Linked DNA regions of Canis lupus familiaris. The protein of the gene in region 3 purifies or fractionates together with the protein of the main gene of each other region. This does not show direct contact. Links are inferred from orthologs where the notes say so. Each region holds a gene or a part of one and is shown on either strand. Other genes may lie near its edges.

What was found.
Region 1: the proteins of DPF2 (region 3) and SMARCD2 purify together in Homo sapiens (affinity purification with mass spectrometry; 6 studies listed by BioGRID and IntAct, counting the BioPlex papers as one, with this or other methods). This does not show direct contact. The link is inferred for Canis lupus familiaris from reciprocal best matches to the Homo sapiens genes DPF2 and SMARCD2.
Region 2: the proteins of DPF2 (region 3) and SMARCD1 purify together in Homo sapiens (affinity purification with mass spectrometry; 9 studies listed by BioGRID and IntAct, counting the BioPlex papers as one, with this or other methods). This does not show direct contact. The link is inferred for Canis lupus familiaris from reciprocal best matches to the Homo sapiens genes DPF2 and SMARCD1.

What each region holds. Positions count from the first base shown.
Region 1 is NC_049230.1:15,133,862-15,140,419, forward strand, and holds the end of SMARCD2 (SWI/SNF-related matrix-associated actin-dependent regulator of chromatin subfamily D member 2), read left to right. Parts: intron 1-83; coding exon 84-268; intron 269-465; coding exon 466-508; intron 509-650; coding exon 651-773; intron 774-1,937; coding exon 1,938-2,093; intron 2,094-2,511; coding exon 2,512-2,607; intron 2,608-2,725; coding exon 2,726-2,827; intron 2,828-2,954; coding exon 2,955-3,116; intron 3,117-3,258; coding exon 3,259-3,356; intron 3,357-3,720; coding exon 3,721-3,856; intron 3,857-4,035; coding exon 4,036-4,158; intron 4,159-4,294; coding exon 4,295-4,396; intron 4,397-4,470; coding exon 4,471-4,524; 3' UTR 4,525-5,411; downstream 5,412-6,558. Other genes in the region: PSMC5 (26S proteasome regulatory subunit 8), read right to left, coding at 5,512-5,565, 5,665-5,751, 5,844-5,954, 6,034-6,132, 6,220-6,410, 6,509-6,558. UniProt on the Homo sapiens protein: Involved in transcriptional activation and repression of select genes by chromatin remodeling (alteration of DNA-nucleosome topology).
Region 2 is NC_049248.1:42,019,959-42,026,516, forward strand, and holds part of SMARCD1 (SWI/SNF-related matrix-associated actin-dependent regulator of chromatin subfamily D member 1), read left to right. Parts: intron 1-290; coding exon 291-452; intron 453-546; coding exon 547-644; intron 645-2,748; coding exon 2,749-2,884; intron 2,885-4,871; coding exon 4,872-4,994; intron 4,995-5,918; exon of another isoform or gene 5,919-6,335; coding exon 6,336-6,437; exon of another isoform or gene 6,438-6,558. UniProt on the Homo sapiens protein: Involved in transcriptional activation and repression of select genes by chromatin remodeling (alteration of DNA-nucleosome topology).
Region 3 is NC_049239.1:52,347,960-52,354,617, forward strand, and holds the start of DPF2 (zinc finger protein ubi-d4), read right to left. Parts: upstream 4,057-6,658; 5' UTR 3,938-4,056; coding exon 3,906-3,937; intron 1-3,905. UniProt on the Homo sapiens protein: Plays an active role in transcriptional regulation by binding modified histones H3 and H4. Is a negative regulator of myeloid differentiation of hematopoietic progenitor cells. Might also have a role in the development and maturation of lymphoid cells.

The DNA.
Region 1 (6,558 bases), on a different chromosome or scaffold from region 3:
AGAGAAGGATGGAGAGAATGGGCTGTGGGCCCCGGGGTGCCCTGCCGCTGACCTATGCGCCCCCTTTGGTTTGCTTCCCCCAGCGGCCTGGTATGTCACCGGGGAGCCGGATGCCCATGGCTGGCTTGCAGGTGGGACCCCCTGCCGGCTCCCCATTTGGCACAGCTGCTCCACTTCGACCTGGCATGCCACCCACCATGATGGACCCATTCCGAAAACGCCTGCTGGTGCCCCAGGCCCAGCCCCCAATGCCCGCCCAGCGCCGGGGGTAAGACCATCCTGTTTCTCCTCTCTCTACCCAGCTCAGCTCTAGTGGTAGCAGAGCAGTTCCTTCTGCCCTAAGAGCTCTGATAACTGAGGAAGACTCCTGGCTCTTCCTGGGGAGGAACCCAGGGGCTGGAAGGGTGGGTGGGGGGAGGTGTGTTTGGACCAATGAGGTCTTAAACGAGTTTTTGTCCTCCCTAGGCTAAAGAGGAGGAAGATGGCAGATAAAGTTCTACCTCAGCGAGTGAGTATGTTGGGCGGGGGCCGACGAGGCCTGCCCAGTGGCTGGCAGACTGTGGGTGCTATCAAGCTCCCCCAATCCTGGGATGGGCGAGCAGGGAGCCAGAGCTGCTGCTTAAACAAGCCAAATTCCTTCCTTCCTCCAGATTCGGGAGCTTGTCCCAGAGTCTCAGGCGTACATGGATCTCTTGGCTTTTGAGCGGAAGCTGGACCAGACCATTGCCCGAAAGCGGATGGAGATCCAAGAGGCCATCAAAAAGCCTCTGACGGTGCGTGTGCAGCCCTGGCCAGTCCTTGGCCCTCAGACTTCTCTGCCTCTCCTTGGCCTTGATTGCCAGAGGCCAAGCATGGGGCTGTGATTTCTTGCACTGCCGGATGCAGCCCATTAGTGAAGCATGAACTCAATTTCATGTGGTGGGACCAGCATGTTTTTAACAAAATACAAAATAGAAGTTCTAGGGCAGCTTGGGTGGCTCAGCAGTTTAGCACCGCCTTTAGCCCCAGGGCGTGATCATGGAGACCCGGGATCGAGTCCTGCATCCGGCTCCCTGCATGGAGCCTGCTTCTTCCTCTGCCTGTGTCTCTGCCTCGCTCTCTCTCTCTTTCTCTCTCTCTCTCCCGTGAACAAATAAATAAAATCTTAAAAAAGTAGAAGTTCTAATACTTCACAGTAGTATAGTACTTACCATAGTGGTGAAAATGTCATTTTTTTTTTTAAGATTTTATTTATTTATTCACGAGAGACAGAAAGAGAGGCAGAGACATAGGCAGAGGGATAAGCAGGCTCCATGCAGGAAGTCTGACGTGGGACTCAATCCCAGAACTCGGGGATCATGCTCTGAGCCAAAGGCAGATGCTCAACCGCTGAGCCACCCAAGCGTCTCAGAAAATATCATTTCATAACATTTTGTTTCAGATATTTGTGTATGTATGTGGATCCTTGATCATGATTGAAAGCGTGATTCTTATGGATTGTGGTCAGAAGTTTGCAGGGCAAGACTAGAGGGTAGATAAGGGTAATTCCAGTCTCCTCCCACACCTCCCCACTCCTTTTAAAAAATAATACTCTAAAACAGTCCCCTGAGTAATGAAAGCTTTCCAGAGACAAGGTTACTTTGGGGCCTGATGACTGAGTTGTGTTTAAAGTGTGAGCTGGAAGCTTCTGATTTGCCCGATAAAACCCTGTATGTCCCTGTCACCCCACCGATCCCACTGTGCTGGAATTCGGAAGTCCCATCTGCCTCCCCCAGGACTGTGAGTTCCTTAAAGTCTGGGCCTGGGATTTCTGACTCCTGGTTTCCAGTGCCTAGCAAGGTGCCTGGCCCCTCATCCACAGGCAGTATCCATGCTGAATGAGTCCAGACAGAAACATCGGGTAGCACTGTGTCCCAGCATGTTGGCCCACTGCTAGCTGGCTGTCTTTCTCGCTCTAGCAAAAACGAAAGCTGCGCATCTATATTTCCAATACGTTCAGCCCCAGCAAGGCAGAAGGCGATACTGCGGGCACCGCGGGGCCCCCTGGGGGAACCCCTGCAGGGGACAAGGTGGCTTCCTGGGAACTCCGAGTGGAGGGAAAACTGCTGGATGATGTGAGTTGGGAAATGTGGCGTCTGGAGGAGAGGTGGCCTGTGGGGGCTTAAGACTGGGGCCAGACACTTGGGCACTTTGGAGAGGTCCTGCCTGAGGGAGAGGGCTCTGCTGCAGGGGTCAGCTCTGGGCTGTCAGAGGTTGGAGGCTGACGTGCACGGCTGTGACAGTAGTTACCCTGCCGGCAGTGAGGTGTCTGGAGGGAGGGGTACCCGTCTCTCAGTCCCTGTGGGCTGCTGTGCGCAGAGCCCTTCCAGGCCTCCAGGCCCTCACTCTGCCTCGTCTCATCACTTTCTCCAGGGTCCAAGTCTTCAGTACCCCTGAGTGTCAGGGGTGAAGTGGTACTCTTTGCGGGGGGCTTAGCTTAGCTTAGGTTTGAGAGCCTAGCAGCCCCAGCTCATGCCCGTTACCGTTCCCCAGCCTAGCAAACAGAAGAGGAAGTTTTCTTCATTCTTTAAGAGTCTCGTCATTGAGCTGGACAAAGAGTTATATGGGCCTGACAACCACCTGGTGGAGGTGAGAGTGGCCCTGGGGCATGGGGAGCATGGGTGGGCCTTGGTCTCTTGGAGGGCCAAGCGTGGATGCTCATGCCCACTCCCTTAGTGATGAGGTCTGCTCCCCTCCTCCCTGCCAGTGGCACCGGATGCCCACCACCCAGGAGACTGATGGCTTCCAGGTCAAACGGCCTGGAGACCTCAACGTCAAGTGCACCCTCCTGCTCATGCTAGATCATCAGGTGACAAATGTCTGGGGCCACAGGGAGTCCTCTGGGGGAGGGGGGCAGGTTCCTATTGTGAATCCTTCCACTTTGGTTTCTCATAAGAACTCAGCCCCACCCCTGACTCTCCTCTGTTCATTTCCAGCCTCCCCAGTACAAGTTGGACCCCCGACTGGCAAGGCTGCTGGGGGTGCACACACAGACAAGGGCGGCCATCATGCAGGCTCTTTGGCTTTATATCAAACACAACCAACTGCAGGATGGGCATGAGCGCGAGTACATCAATTGCAACCGTTACTTCCGCCAGGTGAGCTGGCCGCCATCCTCCTTGCGATTCTCAAGGCCCCTGCTTTGCCCACTGCACCAAAGCCCCACGAGGCTGGTTTTTGGCCACATTCTCCACACTTCCTGTGCCCTCAGAGGCATCACCAAACCTCTGTACTCTCTAGATCTTCAGTTGTGGCCGACTTCGTTTCTCTGAGATTCCCATGAAGCTGGCTGGGTTGCTGCAGCATCCAGACCCCATTGTCATCAACCATGTCATTAGGTAAATAGAAATGGGGATGGGGGGATCCCTGGGTGGCGCAGCGGTTTGGCGCCTGCCTTTGACCCAGGGCGTGATCCTGGAGACCCGGGATCGAATCTCACATCGGGCTCCCGATGCATGGAGCCTGCCTCTCTCTCTTTCTCTCTGTGACTATCATAAATAAATAAAAAAAAATTAAAAAAAAAAAAAAAGAAATGGGGATGGGAAGACTCTTTTAAGAGCCATTTACTTTTGGCTTGATCTAAAAGCCAAAGAGAAGCAGCAAGTTTGGCTTCTTGCTCCTTAAGCGTGTGCAGGTTTGGCCCAGGCGGGTGGGATGGATATAGCCGTGTGCTTACCCTTCCCGCTGGTGTCCTGCCTGCAGCGTAGACCCTAACGACCAGAAGAAGACAGCATGTTACGACATTGATGTGGAGGTAGACGACCCACTCAAGGCCCAGATGAGCAATTTTCTGGCCTCTACCACCAATCAGCAGGAGATTGCCTCCCTCGATGTCAAGGTGGGCCCTCTGCCTCTCCAGCCTTCTATGGGACCCAAGATGGGAGTGGACAGGCTCTGCTGGGCATTTCTGTACACATAGCACCTTGGGATAGGATCTCTGAGTCCTTAGGGGTGAGGCCTGGAAACAGGACTCCTTGAGAGTGGGGGCCAGTCTGACATGTGTACTCCTTTCTCCAGATCCATGAGACCATTGAGTCCATCAACCAGCTGAAGACCCAGAGGGATTTCATGCTCAGCTTTAGCACGGACCCTCAGGACTTCATCCAGGAATGGCTCCGTTCTCAGCGCCGAGACCTCAAGGTGCGCTCCTCTTCCTGAGGTGGATTCCATGCAGCCCTAGGGGAGGTTTACCCGCCTCACTACTACCGCTTCCAGGGGCAGACTTGCACAGGGGTGGAAACTGCATATAGACAACTCTCTTTCTGGCTCTCTGCAGATCATCACTGATGTGATTGGGAATCCTGAGGAGGAGAGACGAGCTGCTTTCTACCACCAGCCCTGGGCCCAGGAAGCAGTTGGGAGGCACATCTTTGCGAAGGTGAGGCTCTGCCCTGTGCACCCTCTTGAGCTTGTGAGCAGCAGCGGCCTGAACCACTTGTCTCTCCTCTCCAGGTGCAGCAGCGAAGGCAAGAACTGGAACAGGTGCTGGGAATCCGCTTGACCTAACCGCTCAGGGAACCCCTCCTCTGCCTGGAAGGGGACCACTCTCTGGGGCCACAGACACATAGGCTAAGGATGGGGTGAGGGCTGTGTCCTGTTACCCTGTGCTCCCCAGCTATAGTTTCATAAATGTAGTGATAGGATTCTTTGTTGCTTGGTCCCCAAAGCCTTATACTTACTTCATACTTTGGCTTTAAATGGGTTCACAAGAGATGCCTCCTCTGCTCCCTGCAGGCAGGCAGGCCCAAGTAGGTCTGCTGGAGGCTGTACTTTGACATTGTCATGGAGACATTTCAGAACCAGGCCTGCTGGCTTTGCTTGTTTACAGACCCCCTTGGGGCCAGTGTGCGAGCTGGCTCTGGGGAGCTGGGTGAGGAAGAGGAGCACAGCTCACACTCTTCCTAGCCTTTCTAAACCAAAGTTCTTCGCCATTCCTACCAGCCCAGCCTTGCTGCTGGTTTTTTCCTTTCCTTTGGGTATTTGCACTATGTGGGAAGCAGGTTTTTCTATGCGGGAGCCACTTTTTTGTACAGGGGTAAGTTGGGGTTTTCAGGGAGTCCTGTTTGGTGCCTCCTTCCGTATTTTTTTTCCTCAATCTATGCAAGCGGCTCTGGCCGCCATCATCTCCTCGGATGCCAGAGGGCTGTCACCCTAGCTCTTGAGCCCAAGGTGGTGGAGCCTCCTCGGAGGGGACTCCAGTTCTCTGGCACGGCCTGAGGTACACGGGTGTGTGCTCCACACGGTGGAGGGCAGGGGGTGTGAGGGGGGAGGTGGGGAGGACTATTGTTGCCCTTTGGAGCTTGGTAGGAGGGTGGACCCCAGGGCTTGGCAAGTGCCACTTCTGGCAGGTTGGAAATTTCCAAATAAATCCTTGTTTATTGGTGGTACCTGGACCTGGTCATTGAATAGTATGGCCACTCATTAACAGACTGAAGTCCTTAAGGCTTGTCCTGCAGAGCTTTATTTGAGGGATCCACACAAAAGACAAGCACCTTACTTCCATAGCTTCTTGATAGACATATTTTTCTCACTATCCTTCTGCATGACCTGGAGAGAGAAAGCATGAAGTTACCAACAGAATGAACACACCCTCTGTCCCCCCTGCTCGAGATGCCGTCAGCAAAGCAGAAAGGTGGAGGCCTCTACCTTGGCTACGGCCATCTCAAAGTCCTCCTGGGTGACATGGACTCGCCGCTCCCGCAGGGCATACATGCCGGCTTCGGTGCACACACCCTGAGCAGAGAAAGGAAGTCAGGCACTGTGGCTGTGCCCTTGACCCCACAGCTTTCCACCTCTGCCCCCTTTTCCTTGGGCTCCCTGATTACCTTCACTTCAGCCCCTGAGGCTCCAGGCATGAGCTCAGCAATTTTCCGCAGGTTGATCCCCCGGGTCAGGTTCATTTTCCGAGAATGAATCTTTAAAATGTCCAGCCGGGCCTAGAAAGGAGAGGAGAAGCCTGAGCCCTGTGGTCTACTCCCACAGCCAGAGCCATTCCCTGCTCTGCCCCTCACCAACCTCCTCGTTGGGCGGTGGGAATTCAATTTTTCTGTCGATGCGCCCAGGGCGAAGCAGCGCTGAGTCCAGGATGTCAATCCTATTAGTAGCCATGATAACCTGAATGGAAAAGGCGGGTGGTGGCTCCGGCCAAACCCTGCCTCGGGCTGTACCTCACCCAGGATCTTCCCTTAGATGCCACATTACCTTGATATTCTTGGTGGCCTCAAAGCCATCCAACTGGTTGAGCAACTCCAGCATTGTCCGCTGTACCTCACTATCCCCTCCAGAACCCCCTTCCAGCCGTGAGGAGCCAATGGAATCAATTTCATCCATGAAGATGATCGATGGAGCGTGTTCTCGTGCCATGACAAATAGTTCCCTCACCATTCTTGCCCCTGTGCAGAGGCCAAGCTGGCGTTAAGAAGGCAATGAGCTCCCTACCCTCACCTCCACCCAATCACTTCTTGGTTTTATTGTTTCTAGCCATAGTTACCTTCCCCAATGAATTTCTGTACCAACTCGGAACCAGAAACCCGAATAAAG
Region 2 (6,558 bases), on a different chromosome or scaffold from region 3:
ATGTCTGGGGACCCTGCTGCTTTCACAGCCATCTCCCATCAGCAGCCTGCCTGATAATTTAAAGGTTTATGTCTAGTTGTGGGTAGTTTGTCACCATATGATAAACTCCCCAAAAAGAAGGAAAGGGTCTTAATCATCTCTTGAGTTTTTTCTAGTGTTTTTTGGCCCTAGAGAAAACACTACGTTAATGCTTGTTGAATGGCTTGAATGCATGGCCACGCTAAAGCACCCCAAAATACATATAGACCTAGCTCCCTAGCTTCATCCCTCTACTCTTTGGTTCTCTGCAGCCTCCCCAGTTTAAATTAGACCCTCGTCTGGCTCGGCTCCTGGGCATCCACACCCAGACCCGTCCAGTGATCATCCAAGCACTGTGGCAATATATTAAGACACATAAGCTCCAGGACCCTCATGAGCGGGAGTTTGTCATCTGTGACAAGTACCTCCAGCAGGTAAGAAAAGGGCCCATTCTTTTGCCAGAGTCCAGTGGAGCTCTAGTTGTGCTCAAAATGCCAACTTCTTAGCTACCTTTCCTCTTTCACACAGATCTTTGAGTCTCAACGTATGAAGTTTTCAGAGATCCCTCAGCGGCTCCATGCCTTGCTTATGCCACCAGAGCCCATCATCATTAATCATGTCATCAGGTGAGCATGTATAGGAGAGGCAGCAGTGTGATGGAGTGGGCTGGTACCAACTTTGACAATCCAGTTGTCAAATTTCCAGGAAGCAGGTTGTCAAATAGCAATTATTTAAATTATTCAAATCTATAGTTTAGTTAAAAAGAGGATAACCTATACCCAAAAAACTCATTACTTCTTGATTATTTTATTGGATCTTACTGGTATTTATATTTTTGAGGTTTCTGTTTTTCTTTTTCTTTTTTTTTTTTTTAAGATTTTATTTATTTATTCATGAGAGACACACAGAGAGAGGCAGAGACACAGGCAGAGAGAGAAGCAGGCTCCATGCAGGGAGCCTGATGTGGAACTCAATCCCGGGACTCCGGGATCATGCCCTGAGCCAAAGACAGACGCTCAACCACTGAACCACCCAGACGTCCCAGGTTTTGAGGTTTCTTATGTCTGTTGTGTTTGTATAGTGGAAATATTAGCCCATTTCCCCTGCTATCCAAAAGTAGAGCGTTCCTATGAAAGCTTTCCTTATTTTTTTTTTATTTTTATTTTTTTTGTGAAAGCTTTTCTAAGCTGAAATGGCATAAAGCAAGAAAACAGGAATGCCTGAGTTTCTCAGTTAAGTGTCTGCCTTCGGCTTAGGTCATGATCTCAGGGTCCTGGGATCAAGCCCCACATCACTCTCTGCTCAGCGAGGAGTCAGTTTCTCCCTCTCCCTCTGTGCTCTCTCGCGCACACTCTCTCAAATAAATAAATAAAAACTTAAAAAAAAAAAAGGCAAAGTGATTACCATTAATTTAAATGGAAAATTTTTTTAATGTCTCAGACGCCCAAAATGACCTCTTTTGCACAAGATAAACAGAAATAAAGTCCACATGCTCACAGACACAAATCAAAGCTGTGGTGGCTTGCTGCTGAGATGCTGACTCTAGATCTCCCAGAGAGGGAGCTTGGGGGCACCACTTGCTGTTTGGGGTGCGCACTGCCTCTGTGATACTGCTGCAGCACAAATCCTGAATGCTAGTGTTGCTTCTTGCGGGTTCTCATAAACCTGAAAATCCTTGGAAAAACTAATGTAAGTCTTTCGGAAAAGCAAAGCAGCATAATGTGAACTTTAAAGAAGCAGGGGGGAAAAATAAATAAATAAAGAAGCAGGGGATACTTGTGTTAGGATGTGTTACTGCACATTTCATCCCAGCTCCTTGATCAGTAAAACAACTTTGGCAGCTTGTAATCAACCAGGTTGGGAATATCTAAACCACAGAAATCCACAAATGCTGCAAATTGGCTTTTTTTCCCTCCCCTTTTGGAGAATCGGTTGCTAGACATTTACCAACTCATTGTGGATGGGCTACCATCTCCTCTGTGGTTGGTAAAACATTCTAACCTGAGGCTCAACAATTCCATTATCCTTTCCCACTTTTTTGTTCAGAAGATGTCCTTCAAGATTTAGTTGGGACACTCCATCCCACTAGATATGGGGTGAGGGAATGCCTTTCCTCCTCCTCAGAGCAGCAGGTGGTTTGGCTGTAGTCTCTTTGCAGCCTTTCCCTTACTCCATGTTAATTCTGATAAAGGCTTTCCTTTCTTTATATCCTGAACTGTCACTCAGCCAATAGTAACTCCTACAATTTATATGTTGGATCATTAGAAGCTGATCTCTCTTGTATTCTTGTGCTAAAGTTAAGCCTTTTGTGTAGTGTGTGTTTTATTTGAATTTATTTTCAGGGTCAATTTTGTTTAATAGGGAGAAAGATATATAAGATACTACAGTAGTAGTTTCTTTTGGGGTGGGAGAAACTTCCTTTTCACTGAATATCTTTTGTACCATTTGAATTTTTACCATTGATTTTTTTTTTTAAAAAAACAACAGCTTTATTGGGGTTTATATACAATAGGTCATACACTCTTGAAGTATAGTTTGAGACTGTCAAACATGACACCATGTAGCTACCATCACAAGGAAGGTATGGGAAATTTCAGTTATGTGCAAAAGTTCTCTTATGTGTTTTTGCTCTCAACCTCTTACCCTCATTCTCAGGCCTTCTTCTGGATCTTGTGTAAATTGGTCTTAAGGGACAAGCCCTTTACTAGTCCCCTTTGGTTTCCTCCCCAGTGTTGACCCAAATGATCAGAAAAAGACTGCTTGTTATGACATCGATGTGGAAGTGGATGATACTTTGAAGACTCAGATGAATTCTTTCCTGCTATCTACCGCCAGCCAGCAGGAGATTGCTACTCTAGACAACAAGGTAGGGGGCCCCAGTCCTGGGTACCTTGGGTGCCACCAGCCCTCTGCCACAGCTTCTAGGCTATCTTTTGATTCTTAGCACTCATTCAGAATGTATTAACACCTAATCTATGCCAGGCACTGTGCTTGGTGCCAGTTGGAGCTGGCTGTTATGATTCTGCTATAGCTTTTAATAGCTTTGAGCCTGTTTCTGAACTATGAAATAGACACTATCATTTTTTTTTTAAAGATTTTATTTATTCATGAGAGACACAGAAAAGGAGAGAGAGAGGCACAGGCAGAGGGAGAAGCAGGCTCCATGCAGGGAGCCTGACGTGGGACTTGATCCCGGGTCTCTAGGATCAGGCCCTGGGCTGAAGGCGGCGCTAAACCGCTGAGCCACCCAGGCTGCCCGACAGTATCATTTTTTTAATAAGATTGTCATGAGGATTAAATGAGACAATGTACATAAAGACGACACAGTGTTTGGCAAGTGAAAACAAATGGTAACTGCTGCTGCTACTGTTATTTTCCTCGATAGACATTGTCCATGAAGGTAAAGCTAGAAACCATTCTGAGGAACACAAAGGAGCACAGGGACGCTTTCCTGGATCAGTTGATACCCCAACTAAATCTTGAAGGACAAAGTGAGAGTTAATGAAAGGGGAGAAAGGATAGTGCCTAGGGGTGTGGGAGGCAGAGGACATTCAGAAAGAGGGAACAGGGTAGGTAAAGGTCCCAAAATGAGAGTGAGCCTGGCATGTTCAAGAAATACAAGCTGTCTAGTGTGCTAGATATATCTTAGGGTGCTAGGAATGGGAAGTTTGGGGGAAGGAAATTGGATAGGGAAGCAGGAGTCTAATTCTAAAGAAGCTTTAGAAGGGAAACTGGTTTATTTATACTTTGTCCCAAAGACTGGAGGTAGCGATGCTCTTTGCATTTAGAATGACCACTGGCAGGAAGGCAGAGAGCAAGTTGTAAGAGAGGCAGATCTGGAGACAGGAAGGCCACTGAGGAGTCAGTGCAGTAACGCCTGTGACATGGTTTGGAGGGCCTGAACTTGGGGTACTGACAATAAGGATGAAAAGAAGTGGACAGATCTCAGAGGTGTCAAGATTTGGACCTGCAGAGATTTGGATACTCTTCATATGGGGTCAGTGGAGTGTGGCTTGAGGGAGGAGAAGGCATTATGACTCCCACGGTTTTCGCTTGGATGCATAGTAGTGTTCATTCAGATTGGCAACCGGAGAACAGAAGTGAATATTGGGGGAAAGGTAGTGAATTTTGTTTCAGAGTTTCATGTGTCTTGAATTATCAAGCAGCTAGAGTGGTTGGAGTTTAGAAAGTGGACTCTGATCTGCAGACTGAGGACTCGTGAACCCATCAGTGGTAATGGAAGATGTGCCAGTGAAGGAAGTTGCCAGGAAGAGTATGGATGATGAGAGAAGGGCAGGGACAAACCCCCCTGGGCCATGGCTTTTGAGACAGCTGCCTGTACCACCGCTCCTACCTCAGAATGTTTTTGCGCTTATTTGTGCTGTGGATTAAGTATTCACCATGTGGCTTCACCTGTAGTGGACATTGTAGGGATCAGAAGGAAAACTTCCCTCCCATGGGGCGTGTGACACAGTGCACACAGCTGCTGAAAGAATGCCGTGTGCTGGAGCAGTTGAGGCTCTGGGCAGCACTCTGGGCCTAGGTTGGGAGTGGCTGGCACATGGAAATGCAGACACCATCTGCCATTTATTTTATTTTTATTTTATTTTTATTTTTAAAGATTTAATTTATTCATGAGAGACACAGAGAGAGAGAGGCAGAGACATAGGCAGAGGGAGAAGCAGGCTCTGTGCAGGGAGCCCGATGTGGGACTCCATCCCGGGACTCCAGGATCACGCCCTGAGCTGAAGGTGGCGCTAAACCGCTGAGCCACTCGGGCTGCCCCCCGTCTGCCATTTAAGGTCGCATTTCCCAGTTTGAAATGTTATTAAGCTTCCTTCTTTTCCTTTCAGATCCATGAGACAATAGAAACTATCAATCAGCTGAAGACCCAGCGGGAGTTCATGCTGAGCTTTGCCCGAGACCCTCAGGGTTTCATCAATGATTGGCTTCAGTCCCAGTGCCGGGACCTCAAGGTAAAGAACCCGGGAAAGGTGCGAAGGGACTTAGATCAGTGAGGCACACATCTGCTTTATTTTTGTAGCATCTGGTAGAAGAGCCAGAGGGGAGGTGAAGGACCAGATTTTCTTTAGCATGTTCTCGGGTCCGTTTTACAACCAAGTAGGGAAATGGAGGTGGAACCATCGAGTGTTCATCTAGTACGTACTATGAGGTGTCACTGGTGTACCGTATCGGAGGGGATGCAGAGTGGAAAACTGGATCTCTGCTTTCAAAGCAGCTTGCGTTCTGTTTGGAGAAACTAGGCTCATAGGATTAATGCATTTATTTATTTATTTAAAATGTGAAGATCTAATTGGTTTTATTCAATGATTCATGAACTGGGCAGCATCCCTTCTAGTAAATAGGCATTCTGAGGACTTGCACAGAATGGAAAGTTTTGATAGCAAGGAGGTTACTAGCAAAAAATAAAGGATTGTTTCAGACCAGGTTATTTTCTTTTAGAGGGAAGGGAACCGACTGATACAATTTAAAAAGTTGTAAAGCAAAAAAAAAAAAAAAAAAAAAAAGTTGTAAAGTATGTAAGACATTATCGGAACTCACCACTACCAAAGACATAATTCAAAGACGGAGATGGGTGAGGCTGGAATAGCCGGGGAACGCTCCATGGCAAATTTCGGATTTGCGGTAATCCTCAGAGAGGAGAGCACCATAAGCTCAGGCAAGGAGGTGGGAGTGAGTACCGAAAGAGTGAAACGTGCCCTCAGTTTTCTCCTGTCCTGTGGTGACTGTAATTACGGAGGCTGAGCAGAGGAACACAGGACAAGGGGTGCCAGAAAGGATCCCAGAAGAGAGCAATGACTCATTAATAGCAGGGGGTGACTTTGGTCGTTGTGTTAGTAGTTTGCGAGGGCTGCCGTAGTAAAGTACCACGAACTGAGTGCCTTAACAAGAGAAATTTATTTTTATCTGGAGGCTGGAAGTCTGAAGTCAGGGTGTTGGGAGGGAGAATGTGTTTCCAGGCCCCTCTCCCAGCTTGCGATAGCCTCAGGCATTCCTTGGTTTGCAGATGGTGTTCTCCAGGTGTCTTCACATCATCTTCCCTCTGTGCATGTCTGTCTCTGTGTCCAAGTTCCCCCTTTTTATAAGGACACCAGTCCTGTTGGATTAGGCCCACCCTAATGACCTCATCTTAACTTGATCATCTGCAGAGACCCTATTTCCAAATAAGGTCACATTCACAGGTACTGGGGGGTTAGGATTTTGTCGTCTTTTGGGGGGATACAATTCATCCATAACAGGTATGAAGGAGGGAAACAAGTCCTTCTCCTCTTTCTCCCCCCTTCCCTGTCCCCCAGACCATGACCGATGTGGTGGGTAACCCAGAGGAAGAACGCCGAGCTGAGTTTTACTTCCAGCCTTGGGCTCAGGAGGCCGTGTGCCGATACTTCTACTCCAAGGTAGGTGCCTGGGTGTGGGAAATAGACAAAAAGGCAGGGATCTGAACCCCTGATGGATGTCAGTAGTATGAGGTGCCAGCTTCTGGCTTGTCTCATCTTCTGCTCCCTCCACTGTTTTCTC
Region 3 (6,658 bases):
CATGAGAAACAGAGGGAGAGAGAGGCAGAGACAGGCAGAGGGAGAAGCAGGCTCCACGCAGGGAGCCTGATGCGGGACTTGATCCCGGGTCTCCAGGATCACGCCCTGGGGTGAAGGTGGTGCTAAACCCCTGAGCCACTGAGGCTGCCCGATTGTCACTTTTAAGAAGTGGTAATTGCTTCTTTGCTTTATGCCATGTTGGCTTATAAACAGTTTCATATGAACACTCTACTTGTTTGGAAGTGGGGGGAAACTTGTATTTAGCCAACTAATTAATTCTATATGCTAAATTTAAAAAAATTTTTTCTATATGCTAATTTTAAAGTCAATGGAAAACATCTGAAAATACCTGAACTTCCTTGAAGCCTACTTTTTCACTGAGTACTATCAGAGTGATGTAAACCCTGTTTGCTCAGAGAGGCCCATCCTAGGCCCTTTTCCATTCTCACACTATCAAATTATTTTTTTTTTTAAGATTTTTATTTATTTATTTGACACACCCACACACACCCACAAGAGAACACAAGCAGGGCGAGTGGCAGGGAGCAGGGAGCCCGACTCAGGGCTCCAACCCAGGACCCTGGGATCATGATCTGGGCTAAAGGCAGATGCTTAACCAACTGAGCCACCCAAGCGCCCCTCACACCATCAAATTATATAGGAAAGAACCTTCTTATACTCAAAAGACTCAGTTTGAAATCTAAATCAAGGGCAAACCTTTAAGTGCTTCAAAAAGCTGGAAAACTACACAGTGCCAGGAGTTAACCTGGTTCTACGAAGCATGTATATAGAAGCAATCTCATCTTCCAAGGTTTTTTTTTTTTTTTTTTAATTTATGATAGGCACACAGTAAGAGAGAGAGGCAGAGACATAGGCAGAGGAGAAGCAGACTCCATGCACCGGGAGGCTGACGTGGGATTCGATCCCGGGTCTCCAGGATCGCGCCCTGGGCCAAAGGCAGGCGCCAAACGCTGCGCCACCCAGGGATCCCTCATCCTCAGGGTTTAACAAGCATGTTAATATTGGAACTTTAACTACAGTGATTCGTATTTACATATACAATCAATCTTAAATAAACTGAGGGCAGAGGTGGTTTCTTACCCATAGTTTCCCCAGCACCCATGAAGGTGTCTGGGACATTTGACTTGGGAGTAAAAAGACCTTGCATGGCCGCAAGTCACACAAACGTGGACATTTAGTCAGCCCACATGCAGCTCAAGTTCCTCTGCTAGACTAGATAAGCTCTAACATATTCTACATGAGGGAGACCCCTAGCATGAGAAGCTGGGCAGAGTGAGTCTCTGTTGCTTATGTCCGTAATTCAAGATACACCGACAAACCACGCTCTGGAATCCGAGGGGGGCTTCTCAGAGCAGTCACAATATAGTACTTAGGCACAGCTTAGTATGTTCCCAAGCAACTGAAAAAGACATACATCACACACAAGGCGATGCCTGGCTTGATTCAATGAGCAGTAATGCCTGTAATTTGAGGTAAGCATGAATTTTGTGTTGGAGAGTGAAGAGAAGGGAACAGGCTCACATTAGCTGGCCTTTAGGAGGCAGCCATGTCCTCACCACACAGAGGAAAATTGGATAAACAGGCCGAGTGCAGCAGCTCCTTTGTTTCTGCTGATGGGAATGGATACTGACACTGGAAGTCAAATGGAAGGACGGAGAGACAGGCTGAGGGCTGCAAAGTCACAGCATGGAGGCCAGAATTGGTTTTTTTTGGGGAACAATGAGAGATGTTCTATCAAAGCACTTGTGAGTTAAGTGGGATTTCAGAAGGTGGTTCAAACTGTCTTGTGAGTAAGAGAACTGGGAATGAAATGCCTAAGTTGGGGGGGGAGAGAGAATCTGATGAGGAGAAACTAAGAGAGAGTGAGAGAATTCATAAATAAGAAAATTCTCTCAGAACAAGATGCAAGCCAGAGAAGATGAGCTAGTAGTGCTGACCTCAATGTATAACCTCAGCTGTTCAAAAAACAAGCATACCACGATCAAGAGAAGCTCCAGAAAAGTATCTCTCTCCTGGGTGAGAATAGTACAGGAAGACTGGAAACCCCTTCTCAAAGGGCAAGTTTTGTAAGGAAATGTATTAATTGCGGTCCATAGTCCTCTGCAGCTAGAACTGAGGAGAAAGTTGGTTTCTCGTTACTAGTACTCAGGAACTAGTGGCTGGTGCCCCTCACAATCTCTGTAGTCCCTTTAATAGAAGTAAGTCATGCTCTGTTGAAATGGGCAACTCCTCCCTTCTAGTACTACATGAAAGGGTTGACAACTCTATTCCCCTGAAGAAAGTCTTCCAACATAAAGTCCCATTACCCGTGAACTCGCAAAACCTAGGCAAGTCTTACATTCCCCCAGTACAGTAAATTTCCAAGGTAGGAGCTCTGATTCTTTTCTGGGAAGCATGAAAACTGTGTAAAACCTCCCTTTACAATGGGATTGGGGTGGAGGGTAATCAACAAAGAGAAACGCAGGGAAACAAAGAACAGGAGTCAGGAAGGATAACTATATAAATGGTAGATCAACAGCGACATTTCTAAATTGAGGGAAATGTCAGCCTGAAGAAAGAGCTGGGGGAAACTGGAGTGGGCAGATCAGAGAGAAAGATAATAGTGTTGGGAGGAGGGGTAGCTGAAAAGAGGCCGCAGGATGGAGCTGAAAGCAAGTTAAAAAAAAAAAAAAAAAAAAACCCACAGGAGGAGAAGAAGGCACTTAGCTTAATGGAAGTGGGAATGCATTCTCAAAGAAAAGGCTCCAGGCGGGGAGGGGTGGGGGTGGGGGGATGTGGGCAAAGCAACGTACTCTCCATAAAGACTCTTGGGAAGAGTGGGGGCTCAGCCCACCACAAAGGCAGCTGAGAAGCTGAGTCCCTCAGAATAGTTCCAAATCTTTACCTTGTCATCCAGTCAAAATCCACAAGCCCTGCCTGGACAACTAGTCACCTCTCAATTTTCCCACCTCTGCACCAAGCCCAATTCACCCATTAAACAGAGTTCGCTCTATTCGTCCACCAGGTACGAACCCATTTCGATCTTCTTCAGGGAGGAGGCTGGGTTAAATCAAGTCCCAAAGCATTTTTAACTCACGGCCAACAGACCACACTCCATTTCCCCAACAACCATGAACTTTAACTTTGCTCGCAGCCTGCCCAGCAGCAGGGGACTGACTGCACAGCGCGCAGCACGCCGACCTAGATGCCCCTCTAGGCTGCAGAGGCGTCCTGGACCGCTTCCGTCCACTTCCCGTTTTTCGGTGGCTGGACTGGCCGGCGCAAAGGCCCTCAAGTTCTTTCCTTGCTGCATCCGCACCTCAACAAATTCTTCCCAATAATGTTTTTGGTCTCGGGTATCAGATACTCAAGACCCCCACCCCCCACCCCCGGACGTCACAGGGCTGTTAAAACAGCCCCGCCATGCTTAACCACGCAAGGGCTGCTGAGCCTGTTGCTCCAGGAACTGCTGCGGGCAGCGGGGCGGGAAGGGGGGGCGCCTGGCTTCGCGGGGACGCGGGTGGGTCCCGGGGCCGCCCTCGGCCCGGCCCGGCCCCTCCGCACCGAGGCGTCTGGTCTCGGGAGCGCACTCAGACCGTGTTTCTCGTCTGCAACGTGGGCGCCATACTCAGGACACCGCGAGCCCGAAGGAGCGCTCAGCCCGCACAGCCCCGCAGGGAGGCTGCCCGTAAGGGGCTCCCGTGTGCCCCCCTCAGGGCCTCCACAAGTTTCCAAAGAAGCGCAACGTCTTCCTGTGAGTCTCCTGTTGCCCTCCCTACTAGGAGTCGCAACAAGGCTTTCTCGGGCACGTCCTTCCCTCCGCCTAGTCCCCTGCCGCGCCGCCCCCTACTCCCAGGCCCATTACAAGACCTCCTGGCCTAGGAGAGAAAGAAACCACTACTCACAGCTTCACTACATTTTCTACCACAGCCGCCATCTTCCCTGCTCCTCTCCCTCAGGCCGGGAGGCCCGGAGCCCTCAGCGCGCAGGCGCAGGGACCGCACCGGGGAACCGGTTTCCTCGTTCCTCTGCGCAGGCGCCGCCCGAGCACGCGCGCCCGAGAGCAGCTTCGTGACTGTCCACAGGGGCGGGGGAGCCCAGGGAGCCCAACGCGCAGGCGCGACGGGCACGGGGGCGGGGAGCCCGGGGTCTTCCACCGTGAGGACCGGACCGGGGAGGGAGCGTCTGGGCTGGTACAGAAAGGAGAGGATTGATGAAATGATGACATGAAGCTGGTGAAAACTGGAGGCCCAGAGTTAGGCTAGATGGAGCCTATGCGTACTGCTGCCTCACCGACCTTTAACCTTGTGGTTAACCCTTTGTCCTCACTCACGGGCGCGGGGAGGGGGCTGTTGGTGGACAGCAGAAGACGGTGCACCATCCGCTTGGGCCTCCAGTCGTGTGCCCGTTCAGGGAGAGGAAGATTAACGTCCCGAACTGAGCAGTTCTTTGGCATGAGTATTGGAGTCTTGGCAAAAATTGCCTCCCCTTCCTCCCACAAAACCCTGCCACCAACTTCAGTGCTACCCACCTCCCTTGCTTCCTACTTCTGTCCCTCCAATTAGGCTCTAAGAACTTCCCTCCTGCAATTATCCCTGAATCTTTCGTACCATTCATTTCTCCTTCACCGTTGAATCGCAAATTCGTGTACAAACATGGCTTAACATCTTTAAAAATCAGAGCCCCTGTAAAAATAAAAAAAAATAAAAATAATAAAATAAAATAAAAATCAGAGCCCTGGGCAGCCCCGGTGGCTCAGCGGTTTAGCGCTGCCTTCAGCCCAGGGCCTGATCCTGGAGACCCGGGGTTGAGTCCCACGTCAGGCACCCTGCATGGAGCCTGCTTCTCCGGCCTGTGTCTCTGCCTCTCTCTCTCTCCCTCTCTCTGTGTCTCTCATGAATAAATAAATAATAAATAAATAATACAACAAAAATTACAAATTTAAAAAATAAAAATCAGAGAGCCCTTCCTGCAGCCCATGGTGGCCTTGGATTATCGTCCCATTTTTTCCATCCTTTCAAGGCAAAGTTTCTGTTTATACTCCGTATCTCTGCTGACTTATTTCCAAGGCCCCTTCTGCCCAGTTTAATGATTTTGTTCCTACTGGTTCGTTGAAACACAGACACCATGACACCACTGACCATTCCCTCCTTTTTCCTTTTTAAAGATTTATTTATTTAAGAAAGAGAGCGTGTGAAAGGAGGGGGTGAGAAGAAGAGGGAGAGGGATATGCTGAGCAAGGAGCCCGATGGGGGTGGGGGTGCTTGATCCCATGACTCTGAGATCATGACCTAAGCCAACATCAAGAGTCCAGCGTTCAACCCACATTCCCCCCACATTCCCTCCTTTTTCAAGCTCTTTTCAGGGTCTCTGAGACCAGCATTCTCTTAGATGTGCTCTAAGCACACTGAAGTTCCTTTACCTCTTTTGTTAAGTCTGTCCTTTGTTCCACTTGTAAATGTCACAGTCCTCAGGCCATGGTCTTTGCCATATACCTCATTCCATAAATTCCGAGATGCGTATATTTCTTGCCCCCATCCCCTATTTTAATATTTCAGAACCAGGTGACATCTTACCATCACTGTGCCTTAAAATAATTTTTGGCAGTTGAGAGTTGCAAGGTGTTTGTCACTGCCTACCCTGCACTCAACTTGCAGAATAGGTGCCAGCAGCTTGGGAAAAAAAACCAGAAACAATACCGGTCCACTCTTTTACCCCTAGGAACTAAATGATTGTGGGAACAAAGAGTATCAGAGGTGACTCCAAAGCAGGAGTGAAAAGTACAGTGTATGTTGTGGCTTGAATGTTTGTGCTCCCCTTCTTCATATGTTGAAGTACTAACCCCCAACATGATGATATTTGGGAGGTGAGCTGTTTGGAAGTGATCAGGTTTAGATGAGGTCATGAAGGTGGGGGGGACCTCATGATGCGATTAGTGCCCTTATAAGAAGAGGAAGACAGAGATCTCTCTCCCTAATAAAGGCCATGTAATGTCACAGCAAGAAGTCAGATGTCTACAAGCCAGGAATCGGGTTCTCACCGGCCACCAAATCTGCTGGCACCTTGATCTTGGATTTCCCAGCCTCCAGAATGGTGAGAAATAAATGTCTGTTGTTTAAGCCACCCAGTCTATAATATTTTGTTATAGTAGCCCAAGCTGACTAAGACAGTTTTATCACTAAAGCTGAACACACAGAGATACTATGACCCAGCAACTTCACTTGTGGATATATACACCAAAAAGCACGTGCAAGTATGTACACCACAGCATTAATTGTAGTAGCTTGAAGCCTGGAAAAAAAAAAAAAAAAAAAAAAAAAAAACAATGCCCATAACAGTAGAATGAATTAAACAAAATGGAAAGAACAAATTATTTTTCTACAACAACATGAGCGAATCTCAAAAACTTAATATTGAGTGAAAGAAGCCAGTTTCAAAAGAAAGCATGGCGTATGATTCCGCTTATAAAAACTTACACACACACACAAAAAAAAACCTTACTCAGACACTAATCTCTGGGGTGAAAACTCAAGAGTACTTCTCTTCAGAGGATAGTGACAAGAAGTGCCATGAAAGGTGCTAGTTGGGGAGGAGGGCGGGAGGTGGGGGTGAGTGGGTGACGGGCAGTGAGGGGGCCACTTGATGGGATGAGCACCGG